Caenorhabditis elegans: one gene and its partner. The protein of the gene in region 1 purifies or fractionates together with the protein of each later gene. This does not show direct contact. Each region holds a gene or a part of one and is shown on either strand. Other genes may lie near its edges. The genes, in order: sec-3 and enpl-1.

Region 1 (6,631 bases):
TCGGGTAGCATTGGCTTAGTGGTTTACAATCAGGCTAAAAGCGACTTATTGGCAACGGTTAGATAGAGTTCTAAATTTGCAGTTTTTAAAGCAGAACTATTTTTTCAGCTGGAGTCTGCAGATCACGATGATTTTGTGTCGAGCATGAAAAATACATTTATTTACGGGAAATTCATAAAACGTTCGCCTTCGGAAAGCTACGTCCCCTCGGCGACCGTTTTTAAGACACTGACTTTCAGCACAATGCCGCCCCAAGTCAAATTGTAAGAACTACCAAATTTAGGTTTTTAACAATATTTTTCGTTTTAGCAAAAAATCGTCTCGACCGGTTCCACCTGGAAAAAGTCTTGGAGAAGTCGTCTCTAAAATGGCGGCAAGTCAGCCGCAGTACACTGTGCGATCTGCTCCGTACTCAAAGGGTCGAGCGGTAAGATTTTGATAAATGCATTAAGTTACTTGTCATGTCAGAAGGTACTACTACATATTGTATTATCACTATTAGACTTGCTCACCGATTGCTTCACGCTGACAGCTAATATCTCGATTTTCTTTAATTTTATCAAAACATTTTAACTGCGTAATTACGTAAAATAATTTTCAACATATTGACATTGTACTATTTTTGGTACAATTTAAGACAACCGAGATATAAGCTAGCAGGTCTAATAGGACAAGTTTCAGTAGTTACCAAGATTTAAAATACTTCCAAATTCGGATTGTCCAGCATATTTTGTGTGTTTTTTCTTTAGAATACAATAATTACTAATGGGGCTAATCAAGTAATGTCGCGAAATGTAACAAAATGTATTGAAATATACATATGTCCACATTTGTTTTATAAAAAAAAATTTAAAGGGGCGATAATACAATTTACTGTAAAAACTAATAAATAAATCAGATCATCAAAATCCCGACTTCAATTCGTAACCGCAACTACACACTTCCACCTGCAGGCCCACTTCCGCTGCGTCGCACTTTGATTACTACCAACTACACCATGTATCCAGTCAGAAACGCTGTTCAGTGATAATCTCATTTTGAAACTTACCCCCGATTTAATATAGCTACATGTCATTAATCATTTTCTTTTGTCTCACTTAAGTTTTCTGTTACTTTTTTTCTACTTTTAACTTATGCCTCAAGTCACTTCCAAATCAAAACCACGACCTTTTCAAACTCTCTGTTGTTTTTTTTCTGATCCGTGTAATATTATTTATTGTTTCTTTCTTTTTTACTTTTGCAGATTCTCCTAATTGAAAACTTTCAATTGTCATTTTTTTACGGTCCGTTTTAGGAATCGTGTTCTATTTAAATAATTGCCAAAAATAAATCTTTTCAGGTCAATCAATTCGTTTCAATTCTATTACTATATCTTTTGCAAGTGTAAAAATAAAACCAAATAAAATTATTTTTGCTTCCCTGCATTGCAATATAAATAGTGGTGTTCATCGAGAAACGCGCACGCTAACCGGCCACTGGCGTGTTTTTCGTGTACTAGTCACCACAGAAAACTGCAGAGACGCAGAATAACTCCGTATGTTTTTACTGGGCATAACTGTTTCCAATTCCCTGATTTTATTGTTTTCTTTTTTAATGCTTGGTTTAAGTTTAAAATTTTTATTATTCTACTTAATCAATGTGATTATATAAATTTTCAATTTCAGATTTGAATGTCTGCAATCAGGAAGATAATCCAGCGGCAACTTTTCCAGAAAGACGATGAAAGAATTCAAGCAATAGTCAATGTCTCAAAGTTGGATGGAAAAAAGAAGAAAAACCAGACACTACTATGTTTAGCAGGTAAGAATTCTTGGAATTGTCCTGTATAAAAATCGATAACTTGCAGTCACAATCGAGCACCCCATCGCCGTCCGTTTATACTTTGTGAAAGGGGAGAAAGATGATACATTCAAAAAGAAGGACAGGTTCAATTTGAGAGAAGTCAGAGAAATCGACGGAATAAATCCGAAAAAAGTGAGTATTTGAAAATTATATGGATTCACGCAATTTATACGATATATGTAGTGAGCAAATGTGAGCGTAACGAAGAACATAACGCAAAAAATGTGAAGCTTCTCGAATAACTGAGGATTTTCAAGTTTTACGAACACTAATGTTTGATGGAGTTTATCAACCTAAAATAGCTAAAAATTCGCCATTTTGCCGCAACTTTTCAACGATCTTTATCAATTGTAAAAATTGCAATTAGCTAAAGTTAGGTGAGAAGTTGTTGAAAGAATAGTTATTGTACACTAAATTTGTCGAAAAGATGATGCAAATTGCAGGAATTATTTTGACAAAATGGCTTATCAATTAGTTAAATTCGCATTTACTTCAAGTTTTTTTGGGTTTAAAAAAAATTGAGAATTTTATTCAACTGACAAACATTAAAAAAATTCAGGCATCACCAGAGTTCCACATCACTATCGGTGATCATCAATATGTGATTTTGGCTGGTTCCGCTGAGGAAAAGGACGAGTTCATTCGAGAACTCTACAAGGTATCCAACTATAATACTTTCAACTTTTTTACTGAAAATTTCGTATTTTAGTTGTCATGCCAATACCTTCCAGTCCAGATGCCAGATTTCTGCAATTTCTCTCTACCGCAACTTGAATCAGAAACCTCCATTATACCCATTGAGCTTCCTGAGCATGATATGGCGATGCAAAGTGATTATCAGCCAATATCCAACAAGGAGGACGCAGACTTTCGAAAGTTGATTGCGCGAGCTAATTTGACTATTGGTGAAGCACATATTTTTGCCGAAATGCTGACGGAGCAATTGCAATCTCTCGATGGAGCCAACATCAACTCTATGATGGACAGTGAGAATTCCGTAAACCAGTTGCTTTCGAGTATTGATGCAGCATTGACCGGTGTTGAGTCGGTCGAAAAAGAGCTTGATCGTTGTGATGACATTTTGGCGGTACTACATTGTAAAGGAATTTATTGAAATTTTAATCAACTATTTTCAGTTTGTGAGGAACAGTATCGAATTGATCGAAGAGAAAGATAGTTTATCGGTGGTTGAAAGAAAGAACAAGCAACGTCTCAACGAGGAAATCGTTTCATTTGTCAATTCGTTGCAGGCTGTTACTGATTCCCACATTGAGACTCTGAAACAAGCTAACTTCAGTAACCCAGAAAGGTAGAGTGAACAACTTAGAGTTTTCAAGTAATATTATGATACTTCAGTGTTCAAAGATGCACGGACGCTGCACGCGCTGTTGCACAATTCTGGCACGGGAGGATTTCTAAGCCAATGCTTCAAATGAAAGCCTATCAGGACAGAAATGATGAGCTTACCGCAGTGGATGTCTTTGTCGATAGGCTCATGTCTCACCTCTCTGCACTGTTCTCGAATTTGGTAAGTTTCAATGAACGTGTGCTTGCTTGCTCGAGGACCCCCTAAATTGTAGAAGTATTAGAGAATTCCGGAGGTCACGCTCTCGCTAAAGGACCCTCTGAATTTTTTGAAAATTTCAACCAAAATTCTCGAATTTCAGATATTTTACAGCGCATGCGAAGCTTTTTTTACATCACATACCATAATTTCACAATAGATTCACGTTAAAATGTGGAGTTTTTTCAATACATCTATTATAAATTTTAGAAGAATCCTGTAGCAAGCGCGCGCACTGTATAAAATCATTTTCAACGCGTGTTTTTTTTTCAGAACGACTTATCTTTGGATCATGAGTGGCATGAACTGTGTATTCCAAAACAGTCTCAACGCTTTCGCGCCCTTTCTCCACTCTCTGATCTTATCAACTGGCTGAAAACGAACCGTCCAAAGGCTTGCAATTTAGTCTTGCAAAAGTATATCGACAGCACGAATCTACTTTACAAACGTCTATTTGACAATTTCTTTGAGACACTGATCAACAAAGTTCCAAAAGCTAACAGTTCTGAAAAGAAGTCAAGTATGTTTGCTAATATTTGCAGCAAAAAATAATCATCTGATTTCAGAAGCAAATGAATCTGCAAACATTTCACTTCGTTCTGACAACCAGAGTTTCCTGAGCACCTCCAGTGAAATTGATACTGAAGTCTTACCGCAACTCATCGAAACGGTGCTGGCAGAACTGAGCGCTGTGATTGACGCAGAGCAAAAGTTCGTTGTCCGCTTCTTCCACATCAACTCGGAGCTGTTGGCTCAGTTCGATACGACTTCAACTGGAAGCGGTGATAGCTCAAGTCTCGGAGGACGTAGTATGGAGAAACATATGAACGAGCAAGTGAGACACGTTATGGGCAACTTGTTTGACTCGCTCAATATTCATCTTGATAGTTTCTGTCGGGCGGTTTGTAGGCACAATCCTAGGTGAGAAAAGGTACACGTACATATTATTTTAAATTCCTACACATTTTAGCAATGTTCTCCTTTTGTTTGTAATCATGTCGAAGAAAGTGCTTCTACCACAAGACCCAAGCTCCTATTTTTCGATCACATTTGGAAGTTTAGTTGTTCTGATAAAACGCCAGTTTGATGCATTTATTGTGAGTTCCATTTATATGTACTGTAATTGCAATAATCTTCTCTTCCAGCAAATGGAATGTTCCCAGTACTCGGAAGTTCGCATTGCTAAAAAGACTAGAATCGGAATTCTCCCATCAATTTTTCGCTTTGCAAACTTTGTGAGACGTGCTGAAATTATCTTTGAAAATGCCGAGAGAAGAACTGACTTGGAGAAGGCATATTTCAATCTTTGCCGGGCGGTTTGTGACGGGATACAAAAAGCTGCCGCCAATCAATACAGCAAGTCTCCGTCGTCTGTAGTCAAGTTTGAAAATTACCACGAGCTCTATTGTAAGTGTTCTAGGAAACAATAAAGTGTGATGGTGATAAATGTTTCAGTGACTTTGTCGGAGCTAAAAATCTCATGTTTGGATCAACAACGAAAAGATGCGAAAGCGCTCAAGGAAGAACATATTGATGCGTACGTAAAAGAGTTTATGGGTCGTCCACTCAAAGAGATTCAGGTGATATATAAATATGGAAATTTATGTTTCAATACTGTGCTGCCAATGCTTGAAAAAAAACTTGACTATTATGCTTTAAACTAGTTTTTTCTTTCTAATTTTGGCTTGTCATTCTACAACATTTGTAAAAAAAGGCACTCTACCATAGTTTAAAGTTGGAGTACCAAAATTTGAGGCTTTGCTATTTTAGACCCAACAATTCAGCGCATATACGCCCAATAAAAGACCAACAAATTTATTAAAGAGTGATCAATAAATAAAAATTAAGTTCCAGACGCTGCGACACCGAGAAGTTGTAAAAATTGTGATTTTAGCTGCAAAACCTTTTTTCCGACTTTGAACCTCCATAACTTTTTTTGAGGAATTTTCAAAACATCTCATTCGAATTTCGGTACTCCACCTTTAAACAAAAATCTCCCAAAACTATCGATATGTATTCCAAAAATTTCAGACGTTCTTCGACAATGTCAACAACTTTATCGAAACGCGTGGAATTCGTCCTGATGAAATCTCGTATCAACAACAATTCAGTCGCATTGAGCTTAAAAAGGTTGAATTTCTAGTTAATCATCAAAATCGCCATTTCATAAATTTTCCAGGTAATTTCACAACATCCGGGAAAAGAAGTGAAAAAAGGACTCGAGCAACTGTACAAGAAAATTGAGAAGAACCTGGTTGCCAATTCATCACTTTTGCAAGTTGTATGGAGAGATATGCAAGAGCAATTTGTCAAGCAAATTGCGGAATACAACAAACTGATTCTCACTTGTTACCCAGGCTCGAAGATTGAGCTCGAAGTTTCCACTGACACTGTACTTCAGTTCTTCTCAGAAATTGCTCAACAACACTAATATTACGACGAATAATTTTATTGAATTTTGTTGTTTTAATTCATTTAAAATTTAGTTTTAATTTATCAGAACTCTAATACTTACTGAACCATGCTTTGTAATATATTTATTTATCTATTCTGTAATAGGTGAACTTCGTTACATTACTGATGTCTGTAATATAAATTTACGGGTGTTCCCCATTCGAAAATAGTAGTAATGCTTGCTTTTTTGAAAAATAAATGTCTTGCTTGGTGACTTTTATTTCACGTATTTTCAAATGCTCACAAAAATTTCACGGAACTGACTTCTTGGTTACACATTTGTAGAAATTTTGACTGAATGTTTGCATTGAACTGGTCAACTTAAGAATCTGACATGCAAATGGTGTGTTTTCTGAAGAACACACTTTGGCAACTTTTAATAAAAAAGGGGTGTAACACGATTTAAATCTAATAAAAACAACTTCTATAATGTTATTCCGTTTATATCTCACTTTATGTTTTACATTTTACTCTTATATACATTTTTTGACTCATTTATACAGGGTGGTCCATAATTATGGACCACCCTGTACTTATATCTTATTTAAAACTATTTCATGTAAGAATTGTTTTAACAGCGCATTTTTTTTCATCACTCGATTTAAAGGTAAAATTGATAGGCCGCAATCTATTTTGGAAAACTTCAGAACAAAATTTAACATTTTAAGAGGTAACTGTGAAGGTTTATAAGAGAATTATAAACCGATCTAACCACTAAACATGGTAACGTAGAAAAAGTAAAATTAGGGGAGGGGGGATGTTTATTTATTC
Region 2 (6,227 bases), on another chromosome or scaffold:
TCAATTAAGGTATTGAAATCTACTTGACTTACAAATATGGACCTACGAAAGAATTTGCCGAAGGCCGAGGAGCCTTTGTTCCAACGATTGAATGGATCGGGTAAGACGATTTTATATTTATTTTCATAATTTCAACAAATTTCCAGTCTTTTCCCAACTGATTTTCATCGTTTCACCATCGATCAATCACAATGTCTTCCATTGGTTCGAACTGATTTTGTGAAAATTGAGAAGATGATTCCTCGATCGATTCAACTCGGAGAAATAGTGGTGACACGAGAATTAGACTGGATGATTCAGAATAAATTTAAAATGGAACTTGAATCAATAAATATGTGCGGACAGGAGTATATGGCTCGATTCTTGATTGCTCCGAGAGTCATGTCGATAGAAAAAGAAATTCCGATTCAACCAGAGACGATTATAAACGAGTACCACGAAGATTCACAATGTTCGCTGTCGACAGATGATGATCGGGAAGCAAAAGACGATGACTATATAGATTCGGATGCTGAAGAAAAGTTCCAGAATATGATAGATAATGATAGTGATTGAAAATAATATGAAACAGATTTTATTTTAGTTTCAAATGCAATATATTGCAATTACAACCACAAAAGGGGAAAGGAACCGTAAAGTGTTCGAGAAGTACTGAGACTGAGAAGTGGGGGGAGAAACAACATTAAATAAATAGAAAACAACACAAGTTATCTTATCTTATCACAATATCATCGAGTGCATAAAGCTAATGGAATGGGGAGATGTTTTACATTGTTTAGAGCTCAGAGTGCTCCTCCTCAATCGTTGTTTCTTCAGCGGCTTCTGGCTCTGGTTCAGCCTCTTCAATATGCTGTTCGGTTTCAACTTGAGCATCTTGGGAAACATCGAGCGATTGGCGAAGGACAGCTTCGATTCTATCAGCAAAACCAACTTGATCTTGAAGTGAGAATCCAGAACGAAGAGTGGCAGTTTCGAAGAGAAGCTTGGCAGTAGAAGCAGCGGTGGTATCTTCTTCAGAAGCAGTGACTCTCTTGAGAAGCTCCTTGATAACTGGATGGCGTGGGTTAATCTCGAATGTCTTTTTCTGAGTAGCATAGAAGTCTTGAGTTGGATCCTTTGCCTTAGCATAAGCTTGCGACTTCATAATGCGCTCCATGTTTCCAGACCATCCGTAGGAAGAGGCAACAAGGGCAGATGGTGATTTGACAAGACGTTGAGAAACAACTGCTTTCTCGATCAGATCCTTGAGTGCAGTTTCCTTGAGCCAGTCAGTAAGTGGCTTGAACTCCTCTTCAAGACCCTTGTGGGCTTCCTTGGCCTTCTCTCCATCATCGATGGTAACTCCTTCCTGAAAAATAGCATGTTGATAGGTAAAACATCATAGCCACTAAAGAAAAAAGCCTTCAATACTCACCTTAGCCACATTTTGGAACTTCTTTGATTCATATTCTGGCATAGCTTGAATACAGTACTCATCAACAGCTTCGGTGAGGAACAAAACTTCGTATCCCTTAGCGATGAGTCTCTCTACGAATGGAGAAGTTTCAACTTCCTTTCTGGAAGTTCCAGCCATGTAGTAAATGGCGTCTTGCTTTTCTTTCATTCTTTCGACATAGGCGGCAAGAGTAGTTGTTTTGTCAGCATCATTAGAAGACTGGAAGCGGAGAAGTTTAGCAAGACGCATACGGTTGGATGGATCCTCCATAACTCCCAACTTGATATTGGTAGAGAACTCGCTCCAGAAGTCATCGAATTGGGCTCCGTCGAGTTTCTTGAGCATGTCGAGCACTTTACGGACAAGTTTCTTCTTGATAACCTTGAGAAGTTTGTGCTGTTGGAGGTTTTCACGGGAGACATTGAGTGGGAGATCATCTGAATCAACGATACCGCGAATGAAGGAAAGATACTTTGGAAGCATATCGGCAAAATCGTCAGTGATGAAGACACGACGAACGTACAATTTGATGTTTTCGATAACTTTTCCGTAGTTCTGAAATAACATTATTAGTTGAAAATAACTAAACGCAATTAAAACAAATGCTATATAACTTTCAATATTCTTACCTGGAACATGTCATTTGGAGACTTCTTTGGAACGTAGAGGATAGATCTGAAGGAAACTTCTCCTTCAGCACTGAAATGCACGTGACTCAGTGGCTCTTCCGAATCCTTGGTGATACTCTTGTAGAATTGCTTGTATTCGTCTTCTTCGACCTGATTTGGTTTGCGCATCCAAATAGGTTTAACGTTGTTGACCTTCTCCCAATCCCAGGTGGTCTTCTCAACCTTCTTGGTTTTCTTTTCTTCCTTCTCTTCTTCAACAGCTCCGTCTTCAGTGGTGGCTGGTTCCTCTTCAACTGCTTCTTCCACCATTTCAGTTTTGGATTGCCAGAGGAAAATGTCAAAGTTGATGAATTGGGAATACTTGTGCACCAAGTTCTTGAGGGTATCTGGCTCCAAGAAATCTGCTGCCTCCTCCTTGAGGTACAATGTAATCTGAGTTCCGCGCTTCAATGTGTTTCCACGTGGGTCTTTGCTGATGGTGAAGCTAGCTGAATCAGATTCCCAAATGTACTGATCATCATCGTTGTTCTTGGTGGTTACGACAACACGGTCGGCAACAAGGAAGGCAGCGTAGAATCCGACTCCGAATTGTCCAATAAGATCTTGTTGCTGGTCAGAAGAAGTGGCAGTGTCCATAAGTTTGGATAAGAATTCTGAAGTTCCAGAGCGTGCAATAGTTCCCAAATTGTTGATCAAATCTTGACGAGTCATACCAACTCCTGTGTCGGTAATGTGAAGAAGGCGGTTTTCACGATCAGCCTTGATTTTAACAGACATCTCTTCAGTCTCACGGAGTTGCTCTGGATCGGTGAGGGAAAGAAGACGAATTTTGTCGAGAGCATCGGAAGCATTAGAAATAAGCTCACGGAGGAAAATCTCCTTATTTCTGTAGAGAGAGTTGATAATAAGTTTCATCATTCGGTTTACTTCGGCTTGGAATTCGTGTTTCTCGGCTTTTGAGCGGAGCTCCTTGATCTGGGAGACAGATAGTCCATCGAGCTTGATCGAATCTTCCTCTCTGAAAATATTATTTATCAATTTCAATTTTTTTTGTTAACTAGTTATATTTTTAAATTGTTTTAAACTGTATTGTGTTTTAATTGTACAGTTTTGATCTTTAATTTTCCAAAATTTTATCAGAAACCCTAGAAAATAATGCGTTCACTTCTAATCCGTGTATGGCATCCCTAATACTACACCTTCCATTAGCAGAAGATTAAATCTTGTGATTCGTATCTCCGTCCTTGACAGGCTATTACGTGAATCTAGGAAAGCATACGTTAAATTATCTAGGTCGGAGATAACCCTTTTAGTCTCTCTTGACCCTTCAGCCGATTTTTCTTATTTGAGAAAAAGGAAACACAAACAAGATAAGATAACCTAGCAGTAGATCGAGTCTGTTTGCATTCCGACAAAGGGCAAGACTCAATCAAATAGTGCTCCGCGGGAGTACAAAATAGTGTGCAAAACGGATGAGAGTCACCAAGTGGACTGACGCGACCTGGTACCGTTCAAAAGTTTTGGCTGAGGCCGGGGGTAGACAAATATTGAGATAGTTCAGAGTAACCAGGAAAAGGAACAGACACGTAGTGACAGGTCAATTTATTTGGAAAGTGGAAGAAAATGTGATTTATCTTTTTGGAACACTTAATCCAGCTAAAACTGTAACTATTCAATATTAAGAGCGAAAAACGAATTCGAAAGATATTTCTGATATATTAGATCTAATTAAAAATTAACAAGGTTATTGATTCTGATTTCGACATATTCACGAAATTGTTCAAAAAATGTACGAAACACAATTCAAAATTCTCTAGACTTTTTCAAATTGCAATTTTTCATAATAATCAAATTATCAAAAATTACCTTGTTTCTTCTTTGGTTTCCTTTGGTGCGTCTTCGATTTCATCTTCGGCGTAGACATTTGGAATGAAGGCTGAAAAGTGATGATTGTTGGGAATAAAAACGTGAATTCAAAAACTGCGTGGCGTGTATGCACAGAATGAAAAAATAAAGCCTAATGTTTTTATTCTGTGAACACAGTTTTAATATTTTCAGCGTACATTTAAGCTTAAAAATTTTTTTTACAATTTCAAAACTACGGTTTTCTATTTAAAGCTCACTAAGCTCTGAAAATCAATAAAAAGACATACCTGAAACAGCCAGAAGGGCGACGAAGCCCACCAAAAGGAATCTCATCGCCGTCTCTTCCTAACGACCGAGAATAAATGGAATGAGGTGTCTTTCCAACGGTCAATTACTCCCCTTTTCTCTCCGCTTGTTTGCTTTCTTTCGCCGGGGCTCACCCCTTCTCGACGTGTCCCTAAAAGTCCCGCCCCAATTTGCAAGTGCCGCACAGTGTCTGCGTCTCTTGCAAACACGTTGTCCTTCACTGAAAACTGCAAACTGCGGCGCGTTACTAGTTGCAAACAGAGGCGGAATCAGCCAATCAACGACCGAGACGACAGCTCAGAACACGTGGAGTGAGTGTCCTGGAACATTGTTTTTGTTTGCCGGATCCAGCAATATGGAATATGTTAATTTAAAAGACGATTTTTCAGTCTTTCTATTATAACAGTCACTCAAGTAATGTTCGGATCATCTAAATTAATCCTTATAGAAATTAATCATCTCACTTGTCTTGAGAATTTGTGAAATTTGTGATCGTTACTCAGCAAACTTACTTGTTTATCCGTCTCATAAACCGGTTTCTCATCTCAATCAGGCAATATACCTCCATTTCTTAATCTCAGTTTTTCCAGTTGGGAATTCAAACCTTTCGCGACATGGCTGAAGCAGCGACCGAAATCCCGCCGACGGCTAGCAATGTCACAGTTTTTACATTCGAAGAACAGGTGAGATTTTTACTGAAATTTTGTAAAATAAATGAAGTGGACAAGTATAAAATTACAACGAAGTTTTTATTAAATGTGATAAATAGCCATGCGAACTTTTTTAAATCAATTTTTCATTCAGGCTACAAGCTCGTTGGCGCTTTACGGAATGTCTATCCTCTGCATCATCATTGGATCGATTCGTTCAGCTCAATACATAAGGACGAATATTGACAAGAAGCGACTTATTGAAGGTTCGATCACTATGAGAGAAGCCAGGAAATTCCCTATTTCTGCTTCTCTGGTTCTCTTCGGTCTCTACCTCTTCTTCAAGCCTGCCGCCGAACGCTTCCTTTGGGTTGCCAGAGTCTTCCAAATTCTGCGAGTTCCCGAAGAATATGTCCAGAAGATCAATAGCACTATTATCAGCTATACCGCTAATACTACGACTACTGGGCCTTCCGAGCCATTCTTGCTCCGCTTGGCGTCAAGGATACCTCAAGAACGCGTTCCAGAAGCAATTCAAAATGCGGCTACATACGCTTATACCAACTTACCAACAATTCAAAAAGCAGAATGTATGCAACTCTTGACTTTCCTCATCTGTTTCGAAGGAGTCAACGCTTTCGCGTCTCTGTTGAAGCCATTTGTTACCGCGTTTCTCAAAAAGATGCCACTGGTTCCATCCTTCTTAAGATTCAATGCTCCGTACTTATTCTCTCTCAAAAAGGGAAATAAGGAAATGGAAGAGGGTGATATCGAAGATGCGAAGAAAAAGGAAACGGAATATCTTTTCAAAATTGACTTTGATCGTTACGATATCATCGCTTTATTGATGTGCTCTCCAATTCTCATTTCTCACCTGCTGAAAAGACACTGGATCACCAATAATATTATCGGAGTGAGCTTCTCAATCTTGGGAATCGAACGTCTTCATTTGGCCAGTTTCAAGGTAAATTTAACAATTATTAAAAAATATAGCAATATTTTTGTAATAAGACAAAAAAGCTACAATTACGCTTACTGAATGGAAGAATAATTTCAATTGACCAGATAGTAATAATATATTTTTGAACTAACTTGAAATATTTGGACAAAGTAAATAGTTCTCAATTTTGGCCTAAAGCTGTTTAAAAGAAACTTTTAAATATCAAACCGTTATTTGCAAAAATAGGTTTTAAAAAAATTTCATTGAAAAGACTAATTAATATCATTATTAATTTTTTTTACAGGCTGGATCCCTTCTTCTCGTTGGTCTCTTTTTCTATGACATCTTCTGGGTTTTCGGAACAGACGTGATGACATCTGTCGCAAAAGGAATTGATGCTC

Evidence for each region.
Region 2: the proteins of sec-3 (region 1) and enpl-1 fractionate together in Caenorhabditis elegans (co-fractionation; one large-scale study listed by BioGRID). This does not show direct contact.

The regions. Positions count from the first base shown.
Region 1 is NC_003284.9:3,094,877-3,101,507, reverse strand, and holds sec-3 (Exocyst complex component 1), read left to right. Parts: upstream 1-1,655; 5' UTR 1,656-1,670; coding exon 1,671-1,800; intron 1,801-1,846; coding exon 1,847-1,974; intron 1,975-2,401; coding exon 2,402-2,500; intron 2,501-2,551; coding exon 2,552-2,929; intron 2,930-2,978; coding exon 2,979-3,151; intron 3,152-3,198; coding exon 3,199-3,370; intron 3,371-3,444; exon of another isoform or gene 3,445-3,580; intron 3,581-3,679; coding exon 3,680-3,926; intron 3,927-3,972; coding exon 3,973-4,327; intron 4,328-4,376; coding exon 4,377-4,503; intron 4,504-4,551; coding exon 4,552-4,813; intron 4,814-4,861; coding exon 4,862-4,986; intron 4,987-5,437; coding exon 5,438-5,536; intron 5,537-5,585; coding exon 5,586-5,837; 3' UTR 5,838-6,080; downstream 6,081-6,631. Other genes in the region: ztf-13 (C2H2-type domain-containing protein), read left to right, coding at 1-57, 109-263, 310-427, 899-1,027.
Region 2 is NC_003282.8:11,117,487-11,123,713, reverse strand, and holds enpl-1 (Endoplasmin homolog), read right to left. Parts: upstream 4,417-6,227; 5' UTR 4,264-4,416; coding exon 4,218-4,263; intron 4,001-4,217; coding exon 3,931-4,000; intron 3,083-3,930; coding exon 2,065-3,082; intron 1,991-2,064; coding exon 1,415-1,990; intron 1,349-1,414; coding exon 776-1,348; 3' UTR 559-775; downstream 1-558. Other genes in the region: Meiotic recombination protein spo-11, read left to right, coding at 10-100, 147-555; imp-2 (Intramembrane protease 2), read left to right, coding at 4,851-4,919, 5,041-5,850, 6,131-6,227. UniProt on the Caenorhabditis elegans protein: Molecular chaperone that functions in the processing and transport of secreted proteins.